Linked DNA regions of Oryctolagus cuniculus. The protein of the gene in region 2 binds, or shares a complex with, the protein of the main gene of each other region. Links are inferred from orthologs where the notes say so. Each region holds a gene or a part of one and is shown on either strand. Other genes may lie near its edges. The genes, in order: ARHGEF7, PAK1, MAP3K5, ARHGEF6, DAB2IP and DCP1A.

Region 1 (4,993 bases), on a different chromosome or scaffold from region 2:
GCCTGTGTCTGGCCTTGTGTTTCAGAACTGCGGACGGTGTGTGTGGTCTCACAGCTGAAATAAAAAACCGCTGCTTCCTTGCCTCTTACTAAGACTTGGTTTTCTTCCCTCCACTTTGCAAATGAGTGTCAGAGTCTCCCAGTGCGTCTCAGCGGCACAGATCCGCACCGGAGCCTGCCCGAGGTCGGCCCGGGCAGGCTGCGTGCTCGGGTGCCGGCGCTGGGATCCTCCGGTGTTGTGAACAGCGTCTTTCATGTAGAAGAATGTGTATGTGTCCGGGAATAATAAAGTTTGTGTTAAAAAACCGGCTGCCGAGTGTCGCCTTTTTAGACACCGCTGTGATGTTGTCTGTAGTGTGCAGTGTGCCACTGCCGGGTGCTGAGTGGCAGGCATGGGGGGGAGGGGGTGTTGTCGGGTCTCGTGCGTCGTCCCGAGATTCCTGGGAGAAGGTGATGTCTCGGAATTTGTGACCTATGCAGACACTTGTGGTCAGAGCCTGTGGAAGGCCCCTAGTGAGGTTCAGGGACGCAGGTTTATGCATGTGACTCCCGGAAGGGCGGCGTGTGTGGGTGCGGGAAGGGCGTGCGGAGAGCCGCCTGTCTCGGGGGTCTGGGGGCGCAGCTGCTGGAGGTAGCGTCTGAGTCATGCTGTATAGTCAAGTTGTGTCGCCCAGCTGCCGCGTGGCGTTCACCTGAGCCGTTCTGTTTTTTATTTTCCCTACCCTAGGTTCACGCAAAGAATCTGCTCCACAAGTTTTGCTTCCAGAAGAAGAGAAAATTATAGTGGAAGAAACTAAAAGTAACGGCCAGACGGTGATGGAAGAGAAGTAAGACGTCTCCGCGTTCCCACTGCCCGTGCGGCTCGGGGGCGGAGGGCCAGTGCGGGCTGGGGCTGGGGGGCGGTGGGCCAGTGCCGGCAGGGGGCTGGGGGGCCGAGGGCCAGTGCGGGCTGGGGCTGGGGGGCGGAGGGCCAGTGCTGGCAGGGGGCTGGGGGGCCGAGGGCCAGTGCGGGCTGGGGCTGGGGGGCGGAGGGCCAGTGCGGGCAGGGGCTGGGGGGCGGAGGGCCAGTGCCGGCAGGGGGCTGGGGGGCAAAGGGCCAGTGTGGGCAGGGGCTGGGGGGCAAAGGGCCAGTGTGGGCAGGGGCTGGGGGGCGGAGGGCCAGTGCGGGCAGGGGCTGGGGCGCCGAGGGCCAGTGCTGGCAGGGGGCTGGGGGGCAGAGGGCCAGTGCGGTCAGGGGCTGGGGGGCGGAGGGCCAGTGCTGGCAGGGGGCTGGGGGGCCGAGGGCCAGTGCTGGCAGGGGGCTGGGGGGCAGAGGGCCAGTGCGGGCCGGGTGCTGGAGGGGTCTCCCCAGGCCTCTGCCCCCCCAGCCAGGCTGATGTCCTCATTCTTCTTCTGTCACAGGAGCCTAGTGGACACTGTGTACGCGTTGAAGGATGAAGTCCAAGAACTGAGACAGGTATGTCACTGTTGGTTTCGTGTGCGCACACATGTGTGTGTGTGTGTGTGTTCAATGGGAAAAAAAGGAAAAGCCCTCTGCAGATTAAAAAAAGGACCACGAGGAGATGGTGTCTGTCGCATCCGACCAGTGCAGCGGTGGCTCTGGGCGTGTGGCTGGGCCCGGTGGGAGCTGGGGCGTGGCCCGTGGGGACACTTTTGAGCCGAGGTCTGTGCTGTCGGAAGCCATCTGTTGGGATAATTTAGAACTCAGATCCTGCCCCCGAAAACTCCATGAGGTCCCTGATTCGTCTGTGCGGGCACATGGGCCAGTCAGCAGCATGTGTCACACTGGCCAGGGGTGGTATTGATGTGTATATGTGTGGTGTGTGCATGTGTACACATGTGTGCGCGTGTGTGGTGTGTACATGAGTGGGGTGTGTGATGTGCATGTGTGGGGTGTGTGCATGTGTGGTCTGTGGTGTGTGTTCACGTGTGGTGTTTTCACATGTATGGTGCCTGCACGTGTGTGGTCTCTGTGTGGTGTGTGCAGCGTGCACATGTGTGTACATGTGTGTACATGTGTGTGAATGTGGCATGTACACGTGTGGTCTGCATGTGTGCATGTGTGGCCTGTGTTCACACGCGTGTGGTCTGAATGTGTGCATGTGTGTACATGTGGTTGTGTGTGGTCTCTGGTGTGTTCACACGTGTGTGGTCTGAACGTGTGTGCATGTGTGTACATGTGGTTGTGTGGTCTCTGGTGTGTTCACATGTGTGTGCATGCATGCGCTGTGTGCACATGTGTGTGCATGTGTGGTCTCTGTGTGTACGTGTGTGCATTTGATGTGTGCACACGGCCTGGGTTCCCTGCAGAACCTGGAGAGGGAGGGGTAGGGGAGGTGAAGGCGGCAGCGACGCCGGGGCCGGGGTACAGGGTCCCTGTGGTCAGCCGTTCCCAGGGACGTCCATGGCATTCCCGGCCGCTCCCCGCCCGGTGTGACCCGGCAGGTCTCAGCCCCAGCATCCGGCCCAGCTCTGTGTGCTCCAGGCGCGTTTCAGTGCCGCGTGGGGCCCAGCTTAGCCGCACAGGCGGGCTCGTGGCCGCCCCTGCCCCTCGCGTTGGTGACTGAGGGCCTTGTCCTCGGGGGGTGCCGGGGCCAGAGCTGTCCACCACATCGTCGTGCTGCGTGGACTAGGCCTCGGGCAGCCCCGGCTGGGTTTCAACTGCCGAGGCCCCGGTCCCCGAGAGTGCGTGCGGGGAAGGGCAGCCCCGGCCGGGTTTCACCCGCCGAGGCCCCGGCCCCGAGCGTGCGGCTGGTGGCTGAGGCTGAGCGCTGTGGTGTGCCCGGCCCCCAGGACAACAAGAAGATGAAGAAGTCCCTGGAGGAGGAGCAGCGGGCCCGCCGGGACCTGGAGAAGCTGGTGCGCAAGGTGCTGAAGACACTGAACGACCCGGCCTGGGACGAGACCAACCTCTGAGGGCCGGCCGCAGCGGGCCGCACTCGGGAGGCGCAGGCGCCCAGGGCCCCCGGCACCGCCTCCTGCCGTAAGTGCAGAACCAGTGCAGAGCCCGGCTTCCCAGACTGTTGGGATGTGACGGACACGCGTGCCCTGCACCTCCTGCCCCCGACCGCGGACCTGCGTGCTGCGACTCCCTCCCCACACGCCTTCCTGGCGGCCTGCACCCCTGCCGTGCGCCCACAGCCTGACCTCAGACCCTGTGCGCAGGCGCTGCAAGCCCGCGGAGCGGCCGCCCAGAGACCCGGCCCCCACGCCCCGTGGGCTCCCGGGCTCTTCTGTGGCCGGTCTGACCACTCCACGCTGCACGGTTCCATCCTCCCCCGAGAGTTCCAGCACTTGTAAATAGAATGTGTTATTTATTGTGGCCCCAGCAGAGGGAGGCAGCCGGCCTGGCCGCGACGCTGGGAGCTGCTCCCAAGGGCGGGCTCTCCCTCCAGGCTGACTGGGCACAGCCCCGCCCGTGCGAGCCGTCCCCTCGGCAGAAGCAAAGCAATACACAGCCCAGTGCGGCTCAGTGACTGCAGCCCAGAGGCCCCACCGGGGCGGGCAGGGCAGGGAGCCGGCCTCGCCCAGCTCTGCGGGCCTTGGGCCTGGGAGGCTGTGGGCGCTCCCGGCCGGCTGTCCCCTCTCCCTTGGCAATAAGCAGTGGTGACCCAGGGCCTGGCCGGCCTTTCCCTCCTGTGTCGGAGATGACGGAACCTCCCGCAGAGCAGTTGTCGTGTCTCTAGAGACCTGTGTGACAGCGGACGAGACCGCGTGACTGCGCCTGCTGAGCCCTGCCTTTGACCCGGCAGCCTGGGGGTTGGTTCTGTCCCCGCACCCCTGCTGACGAGGGCACCTTCTCCTGCCCCAGCCCTGCGGCTGCGCGGCCCCTAACCCGAGTCGCCAGCGCTCTGTGTTGGCGTTTTCTACCTGTCTGTCTTGTCTTTTGGTGAGCTGCTCTCCCAAGCGGCTTTCTGGTGTTGCCCAGGACGTGCGGCAGAGGCGGGGGCTGTGTGCCGGCAGAGCCGCTGTGCCCAGCAGGCGTTAACTCAGGAACAACTGCCCCGCCCCCCGTGCCTCTGCCAGCCGTCAGCTGTGGTCTGTGGCCGGGGTGGGCCCCTCCAGAGCCTGCCTTAACCGGGGAGGAGGGCCGGTCCGTGTAAAGCCTCCCCTGAGCTGAGCCGCGCTCACCGTGGCGGCCGTGGGCCCAGCGCCTCCTGGATCAGAGACGGGTCTGCAGGGAGGGCTGCCCTCTGGTGCGCGGCCCTGTGCCTGTCGCCCAGTGACCTCCGGAAGGGGAGGAGCTGGCGTGGACGGGCAGGGGTGTGTGGCCCACAGCTGTCCCTGCGGCAAGTGAGGCCGGGCGGGCGTCTCTCCCTGCACGTGGGAAGCACTTCCTCTTGGAACCGGCGTAGAGATGTAGCATCCGGGACTTCCCGGGCCCCGGGCACCTGCCTGGGCTTGTCCTGGACTCTGTCCATGCCAATCATTCTCTCCACCTCGGGGACCTTGGACGGCATGGAGCAGCCCCTCCTTGCTGTCACAGACCATGTCCTGGTGTCGACTGCTACAGTGTTCGCGCTGCGTTGTTGGAATCATTAAACTCGTTATTTTTCTTATGTCACAAAACGGTCCTCTCGGTTGTCTTTGGCGAGTCTGACGCGTGTGTGCCGCCCTCGCTGTTGCCGTTGGCTTTTTGAGATCTGGAAGCTCCGGTGTGGGTTTTGATGCCAGAGAGATACCGCTGCCGCCTGAGAGTGTGGACGGGAGACTGGGAGACGGTGGACGTCCAGGCGGCTGGGCCTTCGCGGGGGTGGCTGGGAGACGGAGGACCGTTGCTCGGGTGCCGGTCATTCGGCCAGGGCGAGGTCCTTCCTGAACGGTGAGCGGCTGCAGTGCCGCCCTGCGCCCGGGGTGGCCCAGAAAACCCTGTCCTGCAGGGCCCTCGCTGCCGGGGCCGTCATCTTGGAACATGGGCGTCGGCGGGGGGCTCGGGAAGTGCTGTGGGGATGCCTCTGCCGGCCTGGAGGGGCGTGTGTCGCCGGCCGGTCTTC
Region 2 (5,449 bases):
AGGCCAGAGTGTAACAGTTAGGGTAGAGGAAATGCCTTGAATGTTCTCTTATGCTAAAGTCATTGTTCGGGACTGGGACTCAGACTGGCAATGGAGACCAGTGAATGGGTGCAGCTGAGAACCTGGCACCTCCAGCAAGTACGCCCCTCCCAGTTACCAGCGGCTACCTTCCCTTGGAGTTTGCTGTTAGTTTCCTGTGGCTGACACACACTATATTATCATCACACATAGAGTGGCTGAAAATGTTTATTACTTTATGGTTCTGTAGTTCTGAAGTCCAAAATGGGTGTCAGTGGGCTAAAATTAAGGTGTTGGCAGCGCTCTGTTCCTTTCTGGAGGCTTCAGAAGAGGATCTGTCTTTCTGGCTTTTCCATCTCCTGGAGTCTGCTCCCAAAAGCAGGGGAGCCCCGCCTCAAAATCCTTAATTTGGAGGGAGAATCAAGTTCGTGGATAAAGTTCATAAACCTTGCCCGTTGGCATGAAGGCAAATTCTGATGTTTGCTATCTTTCCTTCCCTTATTAAAGTACTACATGCCATAAAAGGCGTGGAAATACTATAGGATTACAGAATTGTCAAAGCTCAGGGAAACTCTAGAAATATTAGTCAAATAAATAAATGAACATGACATTTGAGCTCAGCTTTGTAGAATCAATAGGTGTTGGCCAGTCACATAAGGAGTGAAGGGCTCAGAGACATGAAGAAGTGTGTATTGCGAGAATGTTAAATAGTATTTTAGTGTGGCTGGAGGAAAAGCTATATGATGAGTGATGGAGCTGAAAAAGTCAGGTTGTGAAGTCCCAGGTTAAGGATTTTAGACTTTATCCTGAAAGCAATAAAAACCTTTCAGAGTGTTTAAATAGAGGAGGACATCATCATATTTGTGGTGGTCAGTGGATTGGATCTGGAGCAACTGAAGGTTGCGCCAGTAGTTCATGTGATGGTGGAGGAAGAGAAGGGCAAGGACCTGCAAAGTAGAATTGACAAGACCTGACGTCCAGTTTGGTAGGCAGGTAGAGAGAATCTGGACTTTCGTCCAGGTTTCTGTTTTCACTGACTGCTGGATTGTGTGGTCGATTCACTGAGACCAGGAAGGCACAAGAGTCGCAAGGTTGGAGGGAAATGACTGGTAATAGTCAACATTCCAAAGGGCTGACTATGCTTAATTGTCACTATCATTTTTATGGCTTCAGGTAGGCTTAGAGAGATTAAGTTAAGGATACACAAGTACCACTTATTATGGAGAAAGTATGGTTTAAAAACGTTAAGATCCTATTACTAACATTTATATGGATGATACGTATTTGAAGCAAGACAATCTTGTTCCAGACTTTCAGCCACCAATGCTGTCCAGTACTGGACACGTTGAATCTGAGGTACAACAATGCATGCAGGTGAACGCTGTGGGGGAGGTTTTGGTAAATACATAATCTTTGCTCCAGGGCAAGGTTTGGAGAAAGTAGACATCATACAAAGAGAAAAACGGGAAAGGAAGCCATTTTTTTTTTTCTGTGTCAGGTCACCATGGTTATCCTTTGTCTCCCCACTTTGGCTCCCACATCCTACCCAAAGAAAACAATTAGAATCATAGATAATGTGGCTCTGAGATCACACGAAACCGTTTTCAAATTCAGTCCTTGGAAATGAGCTAACGAATGCGGTGGTGCTTTGTAAGCAGCAGTCCCTGAATCCTGAGGGTTAGCCGCCTTTTTCCGATTGCAGCCATCCCAGAAATTGCCCAAAGGTTTTCAGTCACAAAGTCCATAGCAAAGAAACCTGCGGCGGGTTGAGAGCACCCGCAGAGAGCAGAGGAGCGGGCGCAATGACGTCACAGGCAACCGGGTGATTCCCCAGCCTCTGGCGTCATGAGGCGATGACGTCATCCCGGCGCTCGCCCTCCCCCTCGCCTGGGCTGGTCTCGCTCACGTGGGCCAGCCGGCCCTCCCCGCCCCCTCCCACCTGCGGGAGGCGGGGCGGGCAGGGCTCCGCCGGCGCCGAGGCCTCACAGGGGCGGGGCGGGGGCCGGTGGGCGAGGCGGTCGGGCCCGGGAGGCGGCTTACAATAGGGCGCCTGCGGCGGGGCGGCGGCGGGCAGCGGCTGCCACTGGAACTGAAGGTGCCGGCTACACAGTGGACGCCCCCTCACGGCTGCCCACACACGCCCTCCCCCTCAGCTCGCCCATCGCGCCTCCCCGCCTCGCTCTGCTGTCCTACTCCGGAGACACTTTGCCCTCGGACTCTTCTTTTCTCCGAACCCCGCAGTCCCCAAAATCCCGCTCAAAGAACTCTGCCTCCCCATCGACTTCCCACCTCCCTCCGAGGCCGTCCGAGCCCCTCACATCCCCGCCCCTCTCAGCCCACCGAGCCGGCCCCGCAGCGCCTCCTCCCGCCTCACCGCCCCCTCCCTCGCAGGTCCCTCGGTCCTGAGGGGATCCCCAGAGCCAGCGGCCGGGGGGAGGCGCGCGGCGGCGGCGGCGGGAGGGAGAAAGTGAAGCGGCGGCTCGCGCACACTCGCGCGCTCACCCCCGGCCCGGCCGCCGCCACCGGGGTGGAGGAGCAGGAGGAGGAGCCGAGCGGAGCAGAGCGAGCACGGAAGGTAAGAGCCGGCCTCCGGTCGGTGCCCCTGGCGTTGCGGGCTGTCCCGGCTGAGGCGCGCGGTCGGGGTGGGCTGGACGGGGTGGGGGCCCTGGGCGCATTCATTCTGGGCGCCGGGTCCCGGCGGGCGGGGGCGCCAGGTGAGGTGAGGCGGGCGCCGCCCCGCGAGGCGGGCCGCTCCCGTCGGGCCAACAAAGGCCCCCTGTGCACGCACCCGCGCGACCGCCGGTCTCGGACGCCGGGACATCGGGGGGCCGGGAGGGGGGAGGCCCCGGCGGGGGAGGGGCCGGGCCGAGGCTGGGAGACCAGACAGGTCCGAGTCCGGGACCAGCTCCGTCCCGAACTTGGCCGTCCCGCAGCGCTCACCGTGGCCCGCGACGGGGAAGCCTGGCCACAGGGCGCCCGCTTCATTCTGCGTGGAAAAGTTCCCCAGTCCAGGCTTGGAGAGCCACCGTTAGGGTTCAACTTGAAAAGAAAACAGTAGTGCGATTTATGCAGCCCTTCCCCCATCCCGGGAGTACTCCCTAACTTAGGAAGGTGAAAACAATCGAGGAAGGGAGAATTATAGTTGTTTTGTATTAGCTATTCCATTTCAAAAGACATTATTACAGCGTTCACTGTTTTGAATATTTCAACGGTAAACATTACTGGCAGTGTTTTGGAAGAATACTTAAGAAGTACTGGGTGTGTGTCGGTGTTGCCAGTAAAATCCTTGTTAAACCCCTTGGATAATTGTCTTACACTTCACTGTATTTTTTAACTGTGAAAGGTGAAGGGAAAGGTTGGTATTGTGGTTACCAATAAACATTCAAATCCATCACTCTTGTCTTTAAAGAATTGTTCTTGGGAAAAATGTTTAATTTCGTCAACTGTGTATTTGAGCTTTCTCATCTCTTGTCAGGAGAAAACAGGAGTCCACAGTACAAAGATACCTCATTTGTCTTACCTTGTGGCTTTACCTACTTCCTGTGTGACCTTGAGCAGGTCACTTCCAGCCTTAAAATTCTAGGAGTTTGCTTTTGTGTCCCTGGAATGGGCAGGTAGGCAGCATACCTACTTCACTTTCAAGAGTCCAGTGAAGAATATGCCTCCCCCCAAGTCTTTGCTGGCATCTGTCCCCTCCCTCTCAGGTAGAGCTGACTTCTCCCCGTTGGGGCTTTCAGAGGCCCACTGAGATTTCTCCTATGGCACTTGTAGCATTTTAATTTCTGTTTGGGAAATCCTGAATCAGGTGCATATGAAACCTACCCCACATCAGCTCTAATTCTCAAAAAAGTTTTGGGAATATGGACCCTGAAACATTCCCTGAACCTTATACATACCTTTACGTGAGCTCGTGGGTCTACCTGGTAAAATTGCTTATTCAGTTATTCTCTTATCCATTATTACTGGAATCTGCTTCAAGCCTCTTGCCACAGCCATGGGGATTTCAAGAGTGTTAAGACCTTCCTTGTCTTCAAAGAGCTCAAAGTCTAGTGGGTGAGGTAGACAAGTAAACAATGCAGCCTGCCCTAATCTCCGGGGGACTTCAGTTGTACAGGGAGTAGTGTGCAATAATTGAGGTTGCTGGACCTGTTTTACAAGTTTGCTTCTGGCCAAATTGAGTTCTTCAGGCTGGCCCCTCATCCATAAGAAAAAGTAAAATTCTACATACATTTATTGAGCACAGGTTTTGAGACTCTGTATAGACTTGAAGGAAGCAGCACCTCAAAGGAAGGCATTTGTGTAACCACAGGGATTTTGTAAAACAAAGCGTAATCACTTAAGTAATTCCTACCTCTGACTATTCATTGTCAAAAGATAAATTTCAGACTCCTTAGCTTGGAACTAGAAACTGGAGATCTGAGCATTGTCTACCTTTGCAGCCTCAGTTTTGGTAAACTCTCTCCTACCACTTTTTTCTCATCTGTGCTTCCCCTTGTGCTGTTTCATCTGCCTAGAATGTCTGCCTTCTTCACCTTCCCTGCCTACAGAGGTGTCCTTGTAATAAGTTGCCTTTCCATCCTCTGGCTCATGTACACACCACGTTTTTAGTTCTGTCTGGCACTGTATTACAATTATGTTAAGTCTGTGCTTATCTTTTTTCACTAGCCTGTGAATTTCATGAGGGCATGATCTGTTTAGTTTTAGTGGCTAGCAAAGGACCTGGCATTGAATAAGTGTTTAAATGAATGAATATGTGTATAAAGAATAAAGTCAAGGCCCATGAGTTAGAGATTCCTAATAGTTTCTCAAAGTGTGGTCCCTGGATCACAGCTTCAGCATAATCTGGCATCTTGTTAGCAAATCAGTGGGTACTAGTTGAAACCTACACATGAACAACTCTGAGGTTGGGGCTCCCACAGAGACCTTTGCTTTAACAAGCTCTCTTAAGTGGTTCTGATGCTTGCTGAAGTTTGCAAACCAGTTTCAGAATTGCCTCCTGATACCCTAGTAGCTCCCTTTCTCCCTTTTTTTCTTCCATGACACTTACTGCCTGACATTCCATTCCATCCCACTTATAATCTGTCTTAAGAGAATGAAAACTTCTTGAGAACAGGAAGTTTTGTCTGTTTTCTCCATTGCTTTAATTCTAATGCCTAGAGTAATGACAGCATAGAGCAGGAACTCAAGAGTTTGTTGAATGAATACTATAAGGTGATTTAGTCCCATTTACTGCCAACTGCTACTTTGGGGTTATAGTTAAGAATCATTCTCATAATGAAAAGGAAGTACACTTTAATATGTAAATCCAAAGGATTCCTAACATTTTTGGGGATGTTTTAGGTAGAAATTTTCTTCCCTTTTACATCTGTCATTCTCCAACCAAAGCCTGCAGGATTTTTTATCTTTTTATTTTGTTTGTTTTAGCCATTAC
Region 3 (4,993 bases), on a different chromosome or scaffold from region 2:
TCCCTGATATAACCAAGGGGATGGGTTGGGTCCTACCTGCAAGAGTGTCTGATTCAGGATGCTCCTGGAGGTGGCTGGAGAACACTTTCCAAGACTGAGTGGTGTGGAAGAGCTTCCCTGAATGAGGGGTGATACGCTGTCAGGAAATCTCATTTCCTGCTGTGTCATGGGACATTTAAATCTGCAGATTATCATTAAGTGTGCTATTAGATAAATCAAGTTCTTGGTAATCCTGTTTTGCTATCTGTGCAATGTTGGCTTATGAAAAATATTTTAACATACTTTTCTGACTCTAGAAATAATATTTGTCTATTATTAGAAGTTCTGGGAAAATAAAAGAAAATCACAGTCACCCCAAATTATATTTCCTAGAAATAACTACCATTAATATCATGGCATTTGTAGGTGTATTTTCATCCAGTTATGCACACAACATGCACACGCACATACACAGAATCTGACAAGAGTTGGAGGAAGGGAAGGCAGAAATCCGAGGTACGAGTGTTCCTCCAGTATGTCCATTTGTCTCCGTGGCCCACTGCCACCACCCCATCCTGTTCATGAGCATCGATTTGTCACTGTAGCAAATGGAGTCAGGAAGCCACTGCTGACTGGCCATCCCCCGACTTTAAAAAAAATTTTTAAATCTATTTTCATTTTATCTGAGAGACAGAGAGAGAGAGAGAGAGATCTTCCATCTGTTGTTTCAATCCCAGAATGCCTATAAGAGCCAGGGCTGCGCCAAGCTGAAGCCAAGAGCCAGGAACTCCATCTTCCATGTGGATGGCAGGAATCCAGCTGCCTGAGCCATCACCTGCTGCCCCCGGGGTTTGCATTAGCAGGAGGCTGGATCAGAAGTGAGCAGCTGGTGTGGAACCTGGCACTCTGATGTGGGATACAGGCGTCCCGAGCAGCATCTCAACTGCTTATCAGATGTCCACCCCCGTCTCCTGACCTTGAGACCAGTTGCTGCTTCAGCCCAGCCCAAGAGGAAGCAAGTAGAGAGGAGTTTCCAGGCAACAGTGGATTTCTTTTCTAATAATTTCACGTCTGCCTTCTTTAGCAAAAGACTTTTGGAGCGCTGGAATACGTGTTTGATAAAAACGTTTCTGGCAAATATTTTGTTCTTAAAACCAGTGTTTGATGAAAGGTCAGCAGCCCCCATTGTGCCAGCTTAGTCCCCATCTGAATAAAGTAGAAGCCTGTGTTTGCTATACAACCATAGTATCTGAGAACTACGGACCAAAGAGATCATTAGTCCATTGCTTTCCAGAATCTGTTCTTAGCAGAGAATGCCTTTTCATTTGCCTCCTCATACAAAGCCAAGATACATGCTGGCCAGAGCGTTACTCGTTTTAGAAAAATAGAGTTGGACCTGTGGTCCAGACTCAGCCTCACACCCACCCCACCCTTGGCAACCCCAGTGCTAAGGAGGATTCTTAAAGCTCTGAAGAACATGGCTTATAAATTACAAGTTTCCCAGCCCTCTGCTAATGTGCCTGGGAAGGCAGTGGAAGATGGCCCAAGCACCTGGGCCCCTGCCACCCATGCGGGAGACCTGGATGGAGTTCTTGGCTCCTGGTATTGATCAGGCCCAGTCAGAAGAGGTGAGATGTTTTTCTGTCACTCTGCCTTTCAAATAAATAAAATACATCTCTAAAAATTGAATCTGGTTCTGTATCTTATAGATGTGAAAATGGAGACCTGTGGATAAAATAATAAATAGTTAATAAAATGAAGGGATCCGAAGCCTGGTGCTTCTACATCTCTTTCATATCCTTGAGAGATTCCTTTCAGGGCCCGGGAGTCCCTTTCGTGGCTTACATTTCTTTACTGAGCTCGGGGCAATCACAGTCACACAGCCAGCTCCTTGAGTAGCAGAATTACACCTCTCATTGCACTGAGATACGTGAAGACGACTGTTGGCATCTTTCTGCAGCTATTTCAACATGTGTACTTTTTAAACAAAAATTTATTTGAAAGGCAGAGAGAGAGAGAGCGCGCGCAAGTATGAGAGACAGAGATCTTCCGTTTACTGGTTTACTCCCTAAATGCCTGCAACAGCCAGAGCTGCTCCAGGCCATAGGCAGGAGCTAGAAACTCCATCTGAGTCTGCCCCAAGGGTAGAATGGACCAAAATACTCGAGCCGTTACCTGTTACCTCCCAGGTGCAGTGGCAGGAAGCCAGATGGGAAACAAAGGCTCAATTCCAGGTACTCTGATGAGGATGCGGGGTCCCAACCCGCTGTGCCACAATGCCCGCCCCTCGCCACGTGTCAGTTGTCAGAGGTGTGAGTTATGCCTGTTGCTTCTCGTCCACGCAGAGTATCTCAGGAGCATCTCCTTGCCGGTGCCCGTCCTGGTGGAGGACACGAGCAGCAGCAGCGAGTACGGCTCTGTTTCCCCCGACACTGAGCTAAAGGCGGACCCCTTCTCCTTCAAAACCAGAGCCAAATCCTGCGGCGAGAAAGATGTCAAAGGAATACGGACCCTCTTCCTGGGGTAAAGGGCTGCCTGGCCCGGGGGGCGGGCGCGTGGCTCCCCGGGACCTTGCGCCTCATGCCGCTCCCCTCGTTTCAGCATTCCAGATGAGAACTTCGAGGACCACAGCGCACCCCCTTCCCCCGAGGAGAAGGACTCTGGGTTCTTCCTGCTGCGGAAGGACAGCGAGCGCCGCGCCACGCTGCACAGGATCCTGACTGAAGACCAAGACAAAATTGTGAGAAACCTGATGGAATCTCTAGCTCAGGTACGGCCCCACCCCACCTCCACCCCCACCCCTACCCCTCAGTGATACTTTGTGTCCAGAGCTTACAAGTTCTCCCTGTGTCACAGCACCTGGGGCTGTCACAGAGCATGGGAGCCATGAGGCCCCTGAGGTGCTCGCCGTGATAGACTATCCTGGGAACGGAAAGAAGCAGTTCCTAATATAGAGACTGGAATGGGGAAGCTATTCTTTTTTAAAAAAGATTTTATTTATTTATGTGAAATGGAGAGTTACAGAGAGAGGGAGAGACAGAGAGAAAGGACCTCCATCTGCTGGCTTGCTCCCCAAATGGCCGCAATGGCTAGAGCTGTGCCAATCTGAAGCCAGGAACCAGGAGCTTCTACTGGATCTCCCATGTGGGAACAGAGGCTCAAGCACTTGGGCCATCTTCTACTGCTTTCCCAGGCCATAGCAGAGAGCTGGATCTGAAGAGGAGCAGCCGGGACACGAACCAGTGCCCATATGGGATGCCGACGCCACAGGTGGAGGCTTAGTGTCCCCCCAGGAAGCTATTTTTAAGTCAGAAGCAATTTTTTTTTATGTTGGAGAGGTTACAGCCAGTCCCTTTCAGCCCTGTTTGTTCATTTGTTTATTCTTTTAATTCCATTTGTTCAGTCAACAGGCCTTGAGCCTTGTGTACCTCTGACTCCCATGTTAGCAGGAAGCCACCTGCCAGCTGTGGTTTTGAATGTTTGGGAAGCATCACAACCACAGCAGAGACGTGGTTCTTGTGGCACTGGGTTCAGATGCAGGGTGAGAGCTCTAAGAAGTCTCTGCTGTTCGCTGTTAGAGGGTTCTGTGTGCAGTGAACCAAGCAATTCTGGGTGATGAAGTTGTTGCTCCGTGGTGTATTTGTGTGCTAGAGATGCTGAAGCAAAATACCACAGGCTAGGAGGCTTCAGCCACAGACGTTTGTTTTCTCTGAGTTCTAGAATTGACAAGTCCAAGGTCAAGATGTCAGAGGCTTTGGTTTCTCCGAAGACCTCTCTCCTAGGTATGCAGATGGTTTCCTTCTCGCTGTGCCTTCACATGGACTTTTCTCTGTACAGGTGAACCCCTGCTGCCTCTTATTTTTAATTAAGATTTATTTCCTTATTTATTTATTTATTTGAAATGCAGAGAGAGATCTTCCATCCACTGGTTTACTCCCCAAATGGCTGCAACAACCAAGTCTGGGCCAGGCTGAAGCCAGGAACCAGGAAGTATATCCAGTATCTCAGTTGGGTGGCAGGGGCTTGGGCTGTCCTCCAACTGCCTTCCCAGGTATGTAAGCAGGGAGCTGGATTGGCAGTGGAGCAGCCAGGACTGGAACCAGCTCTCTGATAATGGGAAGCCAGTTTTGTAACCCTGGTCCCTGGTGCCTGTTCTTGTAAGGACACCAGTCTGATGGGACTAGGGACCCACCCTTATGACCTCATGTAACCTTCATGAGACCTTCATGAAGAGGCCATCTCTCAAAATAGGGTCACATTAGAAGTTAAGGCACCAGCATATGAATTCAGTCCCTAATACCTAGGAAAGTGTGTTCACTGGTATTCTGATTACAGAGATGAGAAATCCCTGCCTCCCCAAATAGGCATGAGTAGACACAGACTTTCCCTCATCTCCAAGCTGCTGGCGGCAGCTCAGGCCCACGTGGAGAGGAGCCTTCCTCAGAAGTACTTGGGGGCTGGTGCTGTAATGTAGCGGTAAAGCTGCCGCCTACAGTGCCGACATCCTATATGGGCACTGATTCAAGTCCCGCCTGGTCCACTTCTGATGCAGCTCTCTGCTGTGGCCTGGGAAAGCAATAGAGGATGACCCAGTTCCTTGTGCCCCTGCACCCCCGTGGAAGACCCAGAAGAAGCTCCTGGCTCCTGGCTTCAGATAGGCACACCTCTGGCTGTTGCGGCCATTTGGGGAGTGAACCAGTGGATAGAGGATCTCTTTCTCTCCTCCCTCTCTCTCTGCCTCTGCCTCTGCCTCTGCCCCTGCCTCTCTGTAACTCTGCCTTTCAAATAAGTAAATAAATCTTTAAAAAAAAAAAAGTACTTGGTCCCACACATGATCTTTCAGTTCTCTGGACATTGAGGACAAGTCTGCCTGCACCTGTGGCCACCACATGATTGCTGTGGACTGCACACAGCCTCTTCCTTCCTTTCTGTCCTGGGAAAACATCTGCAGAAAAGGATGGATCTAGGGGTCAGATAATGAGCCAAGCCTATAAAGTGTCTCTGTCCAAGAGTC
Region 4 (4,830 bases), on a different chromosome or scaffold from region 2:
AACTGACTTGTTTCCCTAGAACTTGACACTTACTGTCTTTAGTTGGCCCTTCAGTCAGTCTGCTGTTCCTCTATGAACCCCCCACAGTGTGTACCCTAGGGGATGTAGAGACACATCTCACCTCAGGTAAGAGGAGGTGATCAAGTAAAGGTAGTGAGTATGCACAGCTCTGAGAGAACTTGGACTGAAAGACAGGAGATCGGTGTTTGAGGGAGAAACAAAGAAAAACACTTGAGCTCTGAGAGGGAGAATCCAGAGTGAGGAGGAGGCTGTAGGTGCAGGAAAGCTGTTTCATAGGTCCCTGTGTCTGTCCTGTCATCTCTTCTGTCCCAGAGCTTGGATACAGTTTGAGCAGAGAGCAGTCAGGACACCTGCAATTTGGCTGCTGATGTGATAATCTCCCAATCCCATCCTACTTTTGATCAAAAGAGTTTAAATAACTTTGTCTTCCCTTGTAGGACTCTGAAGAGAATGAGTGAGCATTAATGAGGCTCCCAAAGCTCTTCAAACGTGCATGTCCCAGCACAGGGCTGCTCTCCACCTGACTTTTACTATAGTCGCTTAACACCAGAGCTTGTGTCATACCCTGGAGATGTACAAGGACACAGCAGTCACTGGTTAGCTCTCTGCTTTGGGGAGACAAGACAGGAAGGTGTAGTGGTCGTGTTGAGGATGGGCATTATGCTGGCCCTTTCACGTAATTTCTGTGAGTTTAAAATGCCTGCCCCACCCCCTGCCACCATGAAGATTGAATCAATATATTTGGCTATTTAGAATTGCTCATGTCAGGAAGATTTAGTTAGCCAAGTGTAGGGTGACTGCCCTCTGGGTGCCAAGTAGCAATGTCCTGTGAACAAAGGCCCTTCCATAATTATGTTCGAAATGAATGCAGAGCTAGAAATCCCATTCAGTAGTAACTCTCCCCCCTCCTTCATCCTGCAACCCTGGTTTGTAGGTGCTCGCAAAGATTCTGTTCCTCAAGTCCTACTGCCTGAGGAAGAGAAACTCATCATTGAAGAAACCAGGAGCAATGGCCAGACCATCATAGAAGAAAAGTGAGTAGAGCAGGCTAAACCTTTCTCACTGTGTCTGTAGGCTGCACAAACGATCCAGTAGAGTGGTGTGGCAATGTGACCCTCTTTGCTGAACATGTGGTGGAGTGGTGAGCCTTGGGAGGGATGCCTCCCTTACAAAGGAAAGAGGGAGGAGGGGCAGAGAGCCCAGAGCCCTGGGGAACAGCTCCACATGGTGGCTGTCCCTGCAGCCATTCCCCCATGCAGTCAGCTGCTTCAGGACATGCAAGCATATTTGTGCTCTGGTGGGTTTAGGAGGTTCCTGGGAAGGGTATAGCACACTCATTTCCCTGTCCAGAACCGCTTCTCATTTTTTTTTTTTTGAGTGAGGTGCTGGACTTTTACATACTTGACCTCATTGACAATCTTACAGCAATCCAGCAAGATAAGCATTCCTCTCACCATTTGTACAAATGAAGAAACTGAGGGACAGGAAAATGATGTCTCTGGCCTCCCTTTGCACAATAGTGAGTGTGGGCTAAAAGGGGGAAACCAGCTTAAATACCCCATGACTCGTAAAATAGATGCAAAGTGGCTAAATAATTCATTTGCTTCAACTTGAGTCATTTCTGCAGTCAGACCCAAATTTGCATAGGACAGCACATTTCAAAGGGCTTGGTATGTCAATATATCTTTACATCTGGTGTAAGAAATGACACAACAAAATGGTAAAGAACTTGGGCTCAAGACACGAAAAGTTCTGGCTCAACTCTCAATGCTTCAACTCAATAGCTGTGTGGCCTGGGGCATGCTCCTTCACCTCTATGCCTCAGTTTCTTCATCTGTAAGATGTGGGATGATAGTAATATTTTCAGGATTGCTGGTGGTCAAATGAAATGCTAACTTTTACAAAGGCTAGCATTCAACAAATGATAATGGTTTTACTGATGATGGTGATTATTGCAGCTATATGAGTCTTCATAACCTTTTGTGATTTCCCAGAAATGTCTTATTATCTCTAATTTACTAAGACCAAGGGAGGATGAGATGGGAACTGATTTTCCAAGGCTAGAGGACTAGTAAGTGGCAGGATTGGAGCTGGAACCTAAATCTCTGAAATCCTTGCCCAGGGAGAGAGCCAGCCAGAAAAAAAGAGAGAGATTGTTCTACAACCCAGCCAGGATGCTTCATCTGTTTTCTTTTTGTAGTATATGGAATTTCCCAGAAGTAATGCCACTGAATTCGTGTTATGTGGGGTCAGATAAATGAGAAAGGCAGTGCCATGGCACAGATAATATAGAATAGCCTGACAATGTTTCTTATCATGTGTTTGGTGATGTTCATTCCTGTATCAAAGATAGATAAATTAAAACCTTATGATGAGAATTTTTAAAAAACTTGAACTCATAGAAGCAGAGAGTAGAATTGTGGTTGCCAGGATCAGGCAGGTTGGGACATACAGGGAGACGCTGATCAGAGGATGTACAGTTTCAGTTATGCAGCATGAATAATTTCAGGATACCTAATGTAGAGCATGATGGCTATAGTTAATAATACTGTACTATATGCTTGAAATTTGCTAAGAATGCAATCTTTAGTGTTCCCACTACATACAAAAAATGGGGACTCTTTGAGGTAATGAATATATTAATTACTTTAATAGTGGTAACCATTTCATAGTGTGTGTGTGTGTGTGTGTATAATGATCATGTTGTACATCTTAAAATACATAGCTTTAAAATTATGTATTTATTAGACAAGAGGGAGATGGAGAGGAAATGTGTCTTCTGTCTACTGGTTCACTCCCTAAATGACTACAATGGCTAGAGCTGGGGCAGGACTTAAGCTGGGAGCCAGGAACCCAATCCAGGTCTCCTACATGGGTAGCAGGGACCCAACAACTAGAACCATTATGTGCTACCTCTCAGGGTGCTTATTAGCAGGAAGCTGGAGTCAGGAGCCAGAGCCAGGACTCAAACCCAGATGCTACAATGTGAGATACAGACATCTTAACCATGTCTAAAACTTCCAGGACAAATACCCACCCCTATACATTTTCTTACTGGTCAAATTATACCTTAATAGATACGGAAAAAGCCAAATCTTGTACTGTGCTCTTGTATAATTTTTCACTCACACAAGCTGCGAAGTGAGTAGCAAAGGAGCAGGGAAGTATAAAGAGAAAATGACATGGGCTTGGAATGGACATGTGTGGTGCTGGTGGTTCTGCCACCAAAATACGGGAAGTGAGAGCCCCTGAAAGCAGTACCATTCCTGCTCAGCAAGAAAGTGCTCTGTTTTTCAGGATTTGTATTCATATAGAGCTGCTTTTGTTGCTAAGTGTTATTCAACAATACTTCAGCACCAGCCATTCATCCCTGAATTTCATCTTTACATTCTAGGAGCCTTGTCGATACTGTTTATGCCTTGAAGGATGAAGTCAAAGAACTGAAGCAGGTAATAAATATAAGTGTCATTTTCTCACTGCCTCTTCCTTGCCCTACACAGATAGATGTTGTCAGGAAAGATCCTGGGGGCAAGGTGGTGAAGGGGATTTTTGCTTTCCTGGTGTCATTAGGGTGTACTTGTTGACTTTACCATGGGACCTTGGGTTTCAGTTTCTGCAGCTTGCTTATATTCCTGTGTAACAGCTTGCAATAGGGTTTCACAAGTAGTTACAACGTTTGTTCTCTGACATCATTTTCTTAAGAAAAGCCAAATCACTTGTGAGTACGTAACTATAAAGAGAATCCTAAAGCATGGTTTGTGGGCTCCTCTGCCGATGTGGTCCAGTGATCTGTGATACACACTCTGCTTTCTGTGTGAGGACTGACTGTAGCTGGTCACAGGGTGAGGAGGGCTGGGACGGGGAGAGACCGGGGAAGACCACTTAGGAGGTTCCTACAAAACTCAGGGAACTGAGGCAAGCCAGTGAGGTAGTGGAGGAGGAAAATGAATACAAAGATAGGAAGGTACCCTGTGGAATTCAAACCTAGGGAATATGAAGACATAATGTTGATATTAAGAGACAACCAGGGATTAAAGTACAACTTATTCTTTTGGTATTAAGATTGGTGTTATGATGCCCCTCACAGAGATCAGGAGCCACAGGAGAGGGAGAATTTTGGGGTGGCAAGGGAAATATTGTATTCATTTTAGGACTTAATGAGTTGACATTCTTGTAACTTATCCAGGTGGAAATATTAGGCTCGCATTTGGGATTGTGTACCCGGTGCCTAGGAGATGAAGTTAGCAACAGAGATATTTGGGAGGTCCCTTAATAGACAGTTTGAAAGGGAAGAGACAAAAAGTAAAAATAGCTTTAGAGAATACTTGTATTTCAGATAAGAGGGTGAAAGTCCAATCAGATAGGTAGGAGAATCAAGAGCTTCTTAGAAGCTGAGGGAGCAGAGTTTGAGGAAGGAAAGTATAGTCAGAGGCAAATGCTGCCAAGAAGATGAGCAGAAGCTTTGGGAAGGACCCACTCTGGTAATCAATAAGTCTTTTGCCATTGTAGGAGAATAAAAGAATGAAGCAATGTCTGGAAGAAGAATTGAAGTCAAGAAGGGACCTAGAAAAGCTGGTTCGGAGGCTGTTGAAGCAAACTGATGAATGCATGCGAGCTGAGTCCGGTAGCAAGACCTCAATTCTTCCATAAGCATCACTGAGCAACTGGGAGGAGTGTGCTTTCAGGGCATCTTGAAATGTCTGGTCAAAGAATTTGACTCAGTTTGCTTGCTCACTTCTTTGGCTTTTAGTTTGAATTTCAGTATTTCTAGTATCTCTCTCTCTCTCTCTCTCTCTCCCTCCCTCCCTC
Region 5 (4,993 bases), about 160 Mb from region 2:
CACGGCCCTCTGTTCCACCAGCAGCCTTCCCACGGCACCCGGGCCAGCTGGGGCGTGTTTGTGGGACAGGATGGTGGGGAAGGAAGGGGAGGGATCTGCAGCCACAGGCCCCAGGCTCGGGCGGTTTGGGGGTTTGGCCTGGGCTTGTTGGGCTGCAGGAGCAAGGCCCCTTGGGCAGGTCCGCTTGTCTGCACCATGCCCACCCATCTTCCCCCCCAGGCCAAGTGTGCTAGGATGCCTGAGGCAGGAGGCCGCCTCAGCTCACCGGCTCCTCCCTTCCTATTCCTGGGTCCCTGCCCCTTCCACCCTGGCTCTCAGCGTCCCTACCTGGCAGGGTTTCCCAGGCTGGGCCGGAATGCAGCCTGATCGGAGTCCATGGGCTGTGATTTTGGTCTAGGACCTCAGGCCTAGGGGCAGTGGGTCCCACCCCATGCCAGGCAGGTGACAGCCTGGCTGGCGTCTGAGGTCAGGCATCTTTTCCAGTGAGGTACAGAGCCCCATCTGGGAGGAGGCTGCCCGGGCCCAGCCCAGGGGAAAGCAGACTGGCCTGTGGCATTGGTCAGTGCCGCGGTGGGAGGAGGCAGGGCTGTCTGAGTAGGGATTGGGGGTCTGCATACCTGGAACGGTGTGGCGTGCTCCTCTGGGCACTGGGACGTGGTGGGGGCAGGGAGATGTGGGGCAGCAGGAGCACCCAGGCTGGGCCATGCTGGGGAGCTCCATGGGGGCTCCCTGGGGGTGCTCCTAGCTGCCTCAGCCTGTCCCCCAGCTTCCCTCTGGTTCTGTCCATTCTCTCAGAGCTTTCAGAGGCCAGCTTCGTGCTGGGCCCAGAGAGCCAGTGGGAGGAGGGTGCCTGGGTCTCCTAGGGTGGACTGTGTGAGTGTCCAAGGGCTAAGGTTTAATTTCCAGCTCTGATCCTTCACCGCGCCTAACACAAAACCCCGGATCCCATGGTGGGGGAGGGGCATGGGGAAAGGGGCATTGCCATGGAGGTGTGGGGGTGGGGGGTGTCCTTCAGCCTGGGAGGCCTTCTGGGCAGGGCCCTTCCAGAGTCAGGGCCTCAGTCCCCTCCCCCCGGGCAGTCATGGAAATGGGTGTACAGGATGTGTGCCTTGCAAGGCTGGGTCTGGTGACCTTGCCAGGCCGCGAGTCTCTGGAGGTTGGGGCCTGAGTCTCGGGCAGACATGAAGGTGGGGTCTTCATGTCACATGGAGCCCTTGGCTCATGGGAGGCCAGGAGCCAAAGGCAGAGAGTATCTGGAGAAGGAGGTCTGCATGGGCCCAGTGTGGGGCAGGTTCCTTGCCAGCTGCAGGGGTGCGGGCCGTGGGTACCAGCAGCCAGTGCTCCGGCTGCAGGAGGGCTCCTCAGGCCCTGCTCATGCAGATGGCCCTGCAAGAGGACATCCACTCTCGGGCGTGAACTTTACCAACCATGCAGCAGGTGCAGTCAGAAGTGCCATGCGATGCGCTGAGAAAGGCGAGGTGTGAAGGGGAAGTGGCTTGCCCAGGGCCACAGAACAGTGGGCAGTGGACCAGTCCAGGCCCAGCCTCCCTTTGGGTACCAGGGGGCATCAGCTACCGCTGTTCCTTGTGCCTGTGTTGGGCTCCTGAGCCCCTGCACGAGGACCCCAGGGCGGCTCCATATCTCAGGTTCCGTGCAGAGTGTAGCCTTCCCGCCGCTCTGAGCTTGTCTGTCCTGTTCAGGAAGAGGTCCCCGGGGCTCCCCTGCCTTGCGTGGGGCAGGGCTCAGGGTGTGAGATGGAATCTGTTGACGGTGGTGCCCTGGACAGGTGCCAGGACACGGTGAATGCTTTGGTTTTGAACAGGGCCGGGGCAAAAGGGAGAGGAAGTGGGAAAGGGCCAGAGCCCTGTAGGCTTTCTGCATCCAGCCAGCTCTTTGGTGTGGCTTCCTCCCCAGCCCCAATCTGTCTTAAAACGGAAGGGAGAACAGACTCAGGGGAGAGCCCCTGCCTCTGGGGAGGGGAGAGGGGACAGGGACGGGGTGGGTAGGGCTGGGGAGTGGCGCGAGCTTGGCCCTGGCTGGGGCAGTCCTCACCTGACCCTCCCAATGCCCACCTCCCCAGGTCCCATCTGATGCCCAGGCTGAAGGAGTCCCGCTCCCACGAGTCCCTGCTCAGCCCCAGCAGTGCGGTGGAGGCGCTGGACCTCAGCATGGAGGAGGAGGTGCTCATCAAGCCGGTGCACAGCAGCATCCTGGGCCAGGACTACTGCTTCGAGGTGGGTGCCCCGCACGGGGTGGGTGCCCCACACGGGGTGGCTGCGAGGTGGGTGCCCCGCACAGGGTGGCTGCGAGGTGGGTGCCCCACACGGGGTGGCTGCGAGGTGGGTGCCCCGCACGGGGTGGGTGCCCCACACGGGGTGGCTGCGAGGTGGGTGCCCCGCACAGGGTGGCTGCGAGGTGGGTCCCCCGCACAGGGTGGCTGCGAGGTGGGTCCCCCCACAGGGTGGCTGCGAGGTGGGGTCTCCCGCACAGGATGGCTGCGAGGTGGGTCCCCCCACGGGGTGGCTGCGAGGTGGGTCCCCCCACAGGGTGGCTGCGAGGTGGGTCCCCCACAGGGTGGCTGCGAGGTGGGTCCCCCGCACAGGGTGGCTGCAAGGTGGGTCCCCCGCACAGGGTGGCTGCGAGGTGGGTCCCCCACAGGGTGGCTGCGAGGTGGGGTCTCCCGCACAGGATGGCTGCGAGGTGGGTCCCCCCACGGGGTGGCTGCGAGGTGGGGTCCCCCCACGGGGTGGCTGTGAGGTGGGTCCCCCACAGGGTGGCTGCGAGGTGGGGTCTCCCGCACAGGGTGGCTGCGAGGTGGGGTCTCCCGCACAGGGTGGCTGCGAGGTGGGGTCCCCCGCACAGGGTGGCTGCGAGGTGGGGTCTCCCCACAGGGTGGTTGCGAGGTGGGGTCTCCCCACAGGGTGGTTGTGAGGTGGGGTCTCCCCACAGGGTGGCTGCAATGCTGCCGCCCCCTCCCCCCCCACCCCCGCTCTGGGGGACAGTGGCTGGGGTTCCTGGTGCAGCGGGAGCTGGGGCTGGGGAGGCCGGGATGTGTGGAAATGGACCAGCAGCTGTTCTCCATGCTGGCCCGTGGAGCTGCTGGCTCCAGTGGGTGAGCGTGAATGAAGAAAGCCTGTGTGGAGCTGCTTAGCCCCAGAGCCTGTGTCTTAGACCCTGCTTGCCTCCGCTCGCAAATCAGTGCGGGAGAGTGGGGGCTCCTCCTGTTCTCTGACGCAGCCAGGGCAGGGTGTTACCCGGGGATTGCCGTGCGGTCTGTCCCGGGAGGTAGCGAACCAGGCCCAGCAGGGCAAGAAGCTGTCAGATGTCACCCAGCAAGGCCGAAGCCCAGCAGCGTTCCTGGGAGCCTCTGCTTGCTTCTCCAGTCCCTCGCGTCGTCTTCCTGTTTCTGGGACGACCCCCCCTGACAGTTTGGGGACCTCTGGTAGAAAGAGGAGCAGCCTCTGGGGACTAGCGTATCAGCCTCCTGGCACCCCTGGCCTGGTGGCATCCATCCCACACCCGTGCCCACTGGCGGACCTTTCTGGTTCAGGCTTCCTGGCCAAGCCAGGCTTGATCCGGGCTCTTACCTCCTTGCTGGGGCCGGCCTGAGACACGCCTGTCCGCCTGTTCACAGCAGGGGTGCTGTGGGTGTGCAGGTGCGGCGGAAGGAGTCTGGTTTCCCCAGGGGAGCCCTGGGCCTGGTGTCGGGGGCAGTGGGGACTTGCAGAAGCAGCCTGGGCCAGGCTCCCTCACCTGGGAGAGACGTCCAAGCTGGGGCTGGGAGATGAGTCAGGCAGGCAGGGAGGGCAGGGTGACCCCACGGCGCACCCGAACAGCCCAGTTGACGTCTCTGCAGGCCGGCTTTGCGTTAGGCTTCAGGTCCCAACGTCGTCACTGTTGCTTGGCCAGTGAGAACCCTCCGACAAGGTCAGCTGAGGTGCCTGTCATACCTCCCCGTGCGTGTATCCTTAGTGAAGCTCCCCTTGGGCTGCACGTTGCCCTGTGACCCGGCAGGGGCCCTGTTCCTTCTCTGCCGCTGTCTCAGGGACAGGCAGGTTGGGGTCAGGAACTGCTTTCCTGTTTGGACCAAAGGACATCGAGGCAAGGTTGAGGAGCCTGGAGCAGGAGCCTGACGCTGCAGGTGGGGCCGCCGTCCTGCTGCTGGCTTGCTCCGGGTCCTGGGTCTCAGTGTACTGCCTACAGGACGTGACCTTGTGGGGTAACAAGGGCCTTGTCCTGCCTCCTACCTGAGGCCACAGTGGAGACCACAGTCCCCGGAGGTCTTCTGTCGCCACTCAGCCTTGCGTGGTCCCTCCCCCTGTAACGCCGTCCTGCCTGTCCCCACAGGTGACCACGTCATCGGGAAGCAAGTGCTTTTCCTGCCGGTCAGCAGCCGAGCGGGATAAGTGGATGGAGAACCTGCGGCGAGCAGTGCACCCCAACAAGGTAGTTCTGTGCCTCTCTTGCCAAAGCACGGGGGATGGAGGTCAGACAGACACGAGGCAGCAGGAGGGCGAGGGCTGGCATGGGAGCAGCCTGCGTGGGCAATGTTCTTGCGCCCTGAACGAGGAGATTGACTCGGCCAGGCTGGGCCAGGCTCTGGGCTTGTGTTCTTGAAGCTACACGTGGAGGAGGAGCTGGCCCTGCAGCCTTCTGCCTGGAGCCCTGTGCCCACTTGTCCCTAGCTGCTGGGCCATCTCATCCTGCCTGAGACATCTGCATCTCCTCAGGACAAGCACCCTGGTCTGGGTTGGTGCACCTGTCTGTATTCCCACAGAGGGGGACCCTGGGCTCTCGTGTCAGGTTGTGGGACCCCAGAGGCCACCCTTGCATCTATATCCGTTTCCCCAGCTGGCTTGAGGGCCTGGGCCAAGTCCTGGTCACTGTGACATCACTGAGGAAGGGACCTTAGCAATGGTCACTTCTTAAGTGACTTTACAGCCCAGCCAAGTAAGGAGGTAGTCGTGGCCTCGTAACCTGAAATGGGCCAGGC
Region 6 (4,993 bases), on a different chromosome or scaffold from region 2:
AATCTGACATGAGGAGGGCACTTCACAAAGCTCATGGAAAAGGGAATGAAGGTGTTTGTTTTGGTACAAGAAAAATTCAAGTTCATGCACATAAGGATCTTCAGAAAGTTCATAACAATGCGTATTGTGACAAAACCACATAAGGATTTCAAAACATTTTTGCACCAAAATTATCTTTCAGTTCCATTTTCCATGAAGTCTTCTTATATTATCTGAAGTTCCTAGAATTTGAGGGTAATTACGCATGTGGATTTCCTTCCACTAACCTAGAGAAGACCAAAAGTACCTGTAGCCTGTCTTCAGTTTGTCCCATTCCTTACTACTGTTTTAGTTGTTAGGTAACAAGTTTGGTTACAGTGATTTGCCAGAGGTTTCTTTTAACTAAGTGGTGTGATTTGTTTTTCAGTCTGCTCCGTCTGGACACAAACATCTGACGGTAGAAGAGCTATTCGGAACCTCTTTGCCAAAGGAACAGCCCGCAGTCATGGGTCTGGATTCAGAAGAAGTGGAGAAGCTGCCGGGAGAGGCCTCCCAGAAAGAACCCAGCTCCTTCCTTCCATTCCCCTTTGAGCAAGCAGGAGGAGGCCTTCCATCAGAAAACCCGGGTGTCCATTCTGCTGCCCACCACTCAGTCCAGCCAGAAGTCCCCACCCCGGTGCTAATCACCCCAGCCTCCATCACACACTCCAGTGAAAAGCATGCCCCAAGCTACACAATCCCATTGAGCCCCGTTCTCAGCCCCACTCTGCCAGGTGACGCCCCTGCTGCGCAGGTTCCCCCCAGCCTGTCTCGAAACAGCACTATGATGCAAGCAGTGAAGACCACGCCTAGACAGAGGTCTCCACTGCTGAACCAGCCTGTCTCTGAGCTAAGCCACAGCAGTCTGATTGCCAGCCAGAGTCCCTTCAGAGCCCCACTGAGCGTGACAAACCCAGCTGGAGCATCCCTCCCAAGCGTTGATCTTCTGCATAAACTCAGGTTGACTCCACAGCATGACCAAATACAGACGCAGACACTTGGGAAAGGAGCAGTGGCACCCACCCTGTGCCCAGCAGCTGGCCAGCTGGCCACACCTGAGAGCTTCATCGAGCCTCCCTCTAAGACCGCGGCAGCGAGAGCAGCAGCCTCAGCCTCCTTGAGCAACATGGTGCTTGCTCCCCTTCAGGTAGTGGCAACAGAGGCGGGGTGGGCAGGGTGGGTAACTGATTGGATGAGACTAACTGCAAAGACCTTGATTTTTACTGATGTGAGACAGGATAGTTTGAAAGAATTATCTCTAAAGGAAACCAAGGACCAGGAGAAAGGGGAAGGAGAATCCCCCCCACCCCGTGACCAACCAAGTAATTACTAGACAATGGTGTAACTCAGTTTCACTTTCCAGAATTATCCCACTGATAACAGATAAAAAAACCACGTTTATATTGCCTAAGTATGCACTATAGGATTTTTTTTTCATCTGTCTTGCTTTTTGTTTTTTAGATTATTTATTTGAAAGTAGAGCAACAGAGAGAGATCGTCCATCCACTAGTTCACTACCTAGATGCCAGATAGCCTCAACAGCCAGGTCTGGATCAGGTCAAAGCTGGGAGACTGGAACTCCATTCTGGTCTCCCACACAGAGGGCAGGGGCCCAAGCACTTGGGCTATCTTCTGCTGCCTTCCCAGGTGTATTAGCAGGGTGCTGGATCAGAAGTGGAGCAGCCAGAATTCAAAGCAGCCCTTCAATATGGAATGCTGGAGTCCCAAGTGGCAACTTAACCCACTGCACCACAGTGCCAGCCCCTGTCTGTCTTGGTTCAGGGTCAGGAAGATCCCCAGATTATCCTGAACTTAGTTCCCATTCCCAGCTCCCTCAGTACTTTGTTTTCAGAGCCTGGGAAGTCTCTGAGCAGAGTGAGGTGCCATGAAGGAAGAGGGCGGCACTCGGGTTAGAGCTGGCAGGGCCTGGATCAAGAAGTGTGTGCATGTGGATATGTTGAGATGTCTCATCAGTGGGACTCAGTGGTAGATCAGGTGTAGAGGAAAAACAGATTTATCCCTCACAGTAATTCATAAGTGTGGGATATGCAAACGAGAAAACCAGATTGGGTGATTTGTGCAAGGTCACGGAACTGGAATAGTATAAAACCTGCTACTCTGCATCAGTACTGAGTCCCTATAGGACCTTTAATAATGCCCTTTAATAATAGTGATAGGAACCGGTGCTGTGACATGGTGGGTAAAGCTGCCACCTGTGGTGCCGGCATCTCATTTGAGCATCAGTTTGAGTCTCAGCTGTTGTACCTCTGATCCTTCCCCTACGAATGTGCCTGGGAAAGCAGCAAGGGATGGCCCAAGTGCTTGGGGCCCTTCACCTACGTGGGAGACCCAGAAGACACTCCTGGCTCCTGGCTTCAGACTGGCTCAGGCTCTGGCCATTGTGGCCATTTGGAGAGTGAACCAGCAGAAGGAAGATCTCTTTCATGCTCTCGCTTGCTCACTCTCTAACTCTGCCTTTCAAATAAATAATCAAATCTGTAACAATGATGATAATCCCCAATCTTAACATTGTACCAAATAATGTATGGAAAAGCCCATCATGGTTGCTATGTATTATTTCTTAACTTTTTTGTTCCATTCCTTTGAAATCTTGTAGTGATAGAGGGGAAACTTAGGGTCTTGGTAGCATTTATATTGTCTTCCTCCAGCCCTTTCTCTGTGTTACAGAGAGGAGAGAATATTCTGTTAAACAGACATGCCTGCTACCACTGCTGCAGGATTCAAGAAACACAACAGCAGTCCTTTTTATCCCTAAGACTTACCTAAGGGCCAGTGCTGAGGCATAGCAGGTAAAGCCACTGCATATGGTGCTAGCATCCCATATGGGTGCTGGTTCAAGTCCCAGCAGCTCTACTTCCAATCCAGGACTCTGCTATGGCCTGGGAAAGCAGTAGACGTTGACCCAGATCCTTGGGCCCCTGCACCCATTTAGGAGACCTAGAAGTTCCTGTCTCCTGGCTTTGGATCAGCCCAGCTCCAGCCGTTGCAACCGTCTGGGTAATGAATCAGCAAATGGAAGATCTTTCTCTCTCTCTCTCTCTCTCTTTCTTTCTTTCTCTCTCTCTCTCTCTCTCTCTCTCTCTCTCTCTCTCTCTCTCTCTCTCCTCTCCCCCTCTCCCCCTCTCTCCCTCTCACTCTACCTCTGCAATTCCACATTTCAAATAAATTATAAATCTGTTTAAAGAAAATGTGCCACTGTGGCTAGAGGAACCATTCTGGAAAAAAAAAAAAAAAAGACCTTTCTATTTATGAATTGATTGATTGATTTGAAAGGATGATAGGGAGAAACAGATCTTCCATCTGCTGTTTCAATCCCTAAGTGTCCTCAACAAGCTGGGCCAGGGCTGAGCTAAAACCAGGAGCCAGAAACTCCACCTTGGTCTGCCATGTGGGTACAGGGGTCCAGGCATGCAGGGTGTTGTAGTGGAAGTGAAGACCAGGGTGAGAACTGGCACTCTGATACAGGATGCCAATGTGGTAAGTGGCAGTCTAACCCACTGCACCACAATGCCAGCCCCACACCAGCATTCTTGGACACTGCCCTCTGCAGCCTGGAGATAGCACCCTGCCCTAGCCTCCTTCTTGGCAGGGCATGCTTCCCTGCGTATAAATTTCCATTTACACAGCAGTAAATACAAAGACCAGGGCTTCATAGAGTTCTCATGTCTTTGCTCTACAAGTTGTCTCTCTCCAATGAATGAGGAAAAACTGCATGTGAAAGGCTGACTCTGGGTAGCAGCTGTTCAGTACTACCTGTCCAGGTTTAAACAGCCTGTTACCAGGTGTCATGCTGCCAACATCTGTCATTTTTACAGACTCAACAGCAAAAATACGCCTGCACAGCTCCCAACTCTGAGATACAGGTTTCTGCTTTGTTCCTTAGGGACTACTTAAGCACACCTTTCATCGGGGGAACTGCAGGGGGAGGTTGAGTCATTGTCACAGTCCTGTCAGCCTCTTCCCTTGGGAATCTGAGACCTGGTTAATGGCTTAGCCATTTCTTGTTGCTAAAATAGATTTTTTTTTACCAGTAATCAGGAAATTTCACTGAAACCTGCCATATCTATTTATCTCTTCTTTTGAAACATTTCAGTCTATGCAGCAAAACCAGGATCCTGAAGTATTTGCCCAGCCTAAGATGTTATCCAGTGCCATCCCGGTAAGGCCCCCTTGTTCTGAAGAAAGCATTTCATGTGTTTCGGTCCTGCTGCTGCTTCCCACACAGAGGTCATTGCTGTGGTCTCCGTAGGTGTTAAGTCACCTGTGTATCATGTCTTCCCTGACTGTGATGGAGGGCAGGTGCAGCTGTCAGCCTGGAAAGCTATGGCTTCCCAGGGCAGAGCCACCACTCTGCTCCAGACCTCCCATGTACCATTGCCCTGACAGCAAAGCCTCCATGCACTGCCTCCGCTGTCCCCTCTGTGGCCTCCCTGTCTGCTTCTTTTACATGTCACTCACCACACCTGACATCAGACTTCTTTCCAGGGCCTCCAGTCTCAGAATTAAAATTAGAGCCAGCTTCTGACTGGCCTTCTTAACCAGTCTTTTCTGTAGACTATTCTGCGTGCTCCGTGGTGATCAGCCTGAGCGCTCAGCCTCATGTTGCACCAACAAGCAAGCCCACGTGGTTCTGCTCCTAGAAACTACACCTTTAAAATTGTGGAGGGGCCGGCGCTATGGCGTAGCCGGTGAAGCCACCTCTGATCCAGCTCCCTGCTAATGCACCTGGGAAGGCAGGAGAAGATGGCCCAAGTCCTTGGGCCCCTGCACCCATGTGGGAGACTTGGAGGAAGCTCCTGGCTCCTGGCTTCGACCTGGTCCAGTCCCAGCTGTTACAACCATTGGGGGAGTGAACTGATGGATGGAAGGTCCATCTCTCTCGCTCACTCTCTCCCCTTCTCTCTCTGTATCTCTGCCTTTCAAATACATAATGCCTTTTTATTAAGACTTTATT

Evidence for each region.
Region 1: the proteins of PAK1 (region 2) and ARHGEF7 are in contact, whole or in part, in an NMR structure (PDB 1ZSG), measured with the Homo sapiens proteins. The link is inferred for Oryctolagus cuniculus from reciprocal best matches to the Homo sapiens genes PAK1 and ARHGEF7. Residues at the interface, in NP_001363202.1 of Homo sapiens: Thr185, Pro186, Pro188, Val189, Ile190, Ala191, Pro192, Arg193, Lys198, Arg203, Ser204; in NP_001106983.1 of Homo sapiens: Lys192, Phe193, Phe195, Thr198, Asp201, Glu202, Glu217, Gly220, Trp221, Trp232, Pro234, Ser235, Asn236, Tyr237.
Region 3: PAK1 (region 2) and MAP3K5 share a complex: the UniProt entries of both Homo sapiens proteins name them as parts of the cytoplasmic complex. The link is inferred for Oryctolagus cuniculus from reciprocal best matches to the Homo sapiens genes PAK1 and MAP3K5.
Region 4: PAK1 (region 2) and ARHGEF6 share a complex: the UniProt entries of both Homo sapiens proteins name them as parts of the cytoplasmic complex. The link is inferred for Oryctolagus cuniculus from reciprocal best matches to the Homo sapiens genes PAK1 and ARHGEF6.
Region 5: PAK1 (region 2) and DAB2IP share a complex: the UniProt entries of both Homo sapiens proteins name them as parts of the cytoplasmic complex. The link is inferred for Oryctolagus cuniculus from reciprocal best matches to the Homo sapiens genes PAK1 and DAB2IP.
Region 6: PAK1 (region 2) and DCP1A share a complex: the UniProt entries of both Homo sapiens proteins name them as parts of the cytoplasmic complex. The link is inferred for Oryctolagus cuniculus from reciprocal best matches to the Homo sapiens genes PAK1 and DCP1A.

What each region holds. Positions count from the first base shown.
Region 1 is NC_091440.1:2,006,185-2,011,177, reverse strand, and holds the end of ARHGEF7 (rho guanine nucleotide exchange factor 7), read left to right. Parts: intron 1-726; coding exon 727-826; intron 827-1,400; coding exon 1,401-1,455; intron 1,456-2,792; coding exon 2,793-2,915; 3' UTR 2,916-4,568; downstream 4,569-4,993. UniProt on the Homo sapiens protein: Acts as a RAC1 guanine nucleotide exchange factor (GEF) and can induce membrane ruffling. Functions in cell migration, attachment and cell spreading. Promotes targeting of RAC1 to focal adhesions. May function as a positive regulator of apoptosis.
Region 2 is NC_091432.1:68,610,095-68,615,543, reverse strand, and holds the start of PAK1 (serine/threonine-protein kinase PAK 1), read left to right. Parts: upstream 1-2,010; 5' UTR 2,011-2,593; intron 2,594-5,449. UniProt on the Homo sapiens protein: Protein kinase involved in intracellular signaling pathways downstream of integrins and receptor-type kinases that plays an important role in cytoskeleton dynamics, in cell adhesion, migration, proliferation, apoptosis, mitosis, and in vesicle-mediated transport processes.
Region 3 is NC_091436.1:32,274,715-32,279,707, forward strand, and holds part of MAP3K5 (mitogen-activated protein kinase kinase kinase 5), read left to right. Parts: intron 1-2,324; coding exon 2,325-2,502; intron 2,503-2,580; coding exon 2,581-2,749; intron 2,750-4,993. UniProt on the Homo sapiens protein: Serine/threonine kinase which acts as an essential component of the MAP kinase signal transduction pathway. Plays an important role in the cascades of cellular responses evoked by changes in the environment.
Region 4 is NC_091453.1:114,518,871-114,523,700, reverse strand, and holds part of ARHGEF6 (rho guanine nucleotide exchange factor 6), read left to right. Parts: intron 1-955; coding exon 956-1,055; intron 1,056-3,415; coding exon 3,416-3,470; intron 3,471-4,530; coding exon 4,531-4,671; 3' UTR 4,672-4,830. UniProt on the Homo sapiens protein: Acts as a RAC1 guanine nucleotide exchange factor (GEF).
Region 5 is NC_091432.1:225,759,150-225,764,142, forward strand, and holds part of DAB2IP (disabled homolog 2-interacting protein), read left to right. Parts: intron 1-2,080; coding exon 2,081-2,234; intron 2,235-4,347; coding exon 4,348-4,446; intron 4,447-4,993. UniProt on the Homo sapiens protein: Functions as a scaffold protein implicated in the regulation of a large spectrum of both general and specialized signaling pathways.
Region 6 is NC_091441.1:96,540,547-96,545,539, forward strand, and holds part of DCP1A (mRNA-decapping enzyme 1A), read left to right. Parts: intron 1-406; coding exon 407-1,165; intron 1,166-4,132; coding exon 4,133-4,198; intron 4,199-4,993. UniProt on the Homo sapiens protein: Necessary for the degradation of mRNAs, both in normal mRNA turnover and in nonsense-mediated mRNA decay. Removes the 7-methyl guanine cap structure from mRNA molecules, yielding a 5'-phosphorylated mRNA fragment and 7m-GDP.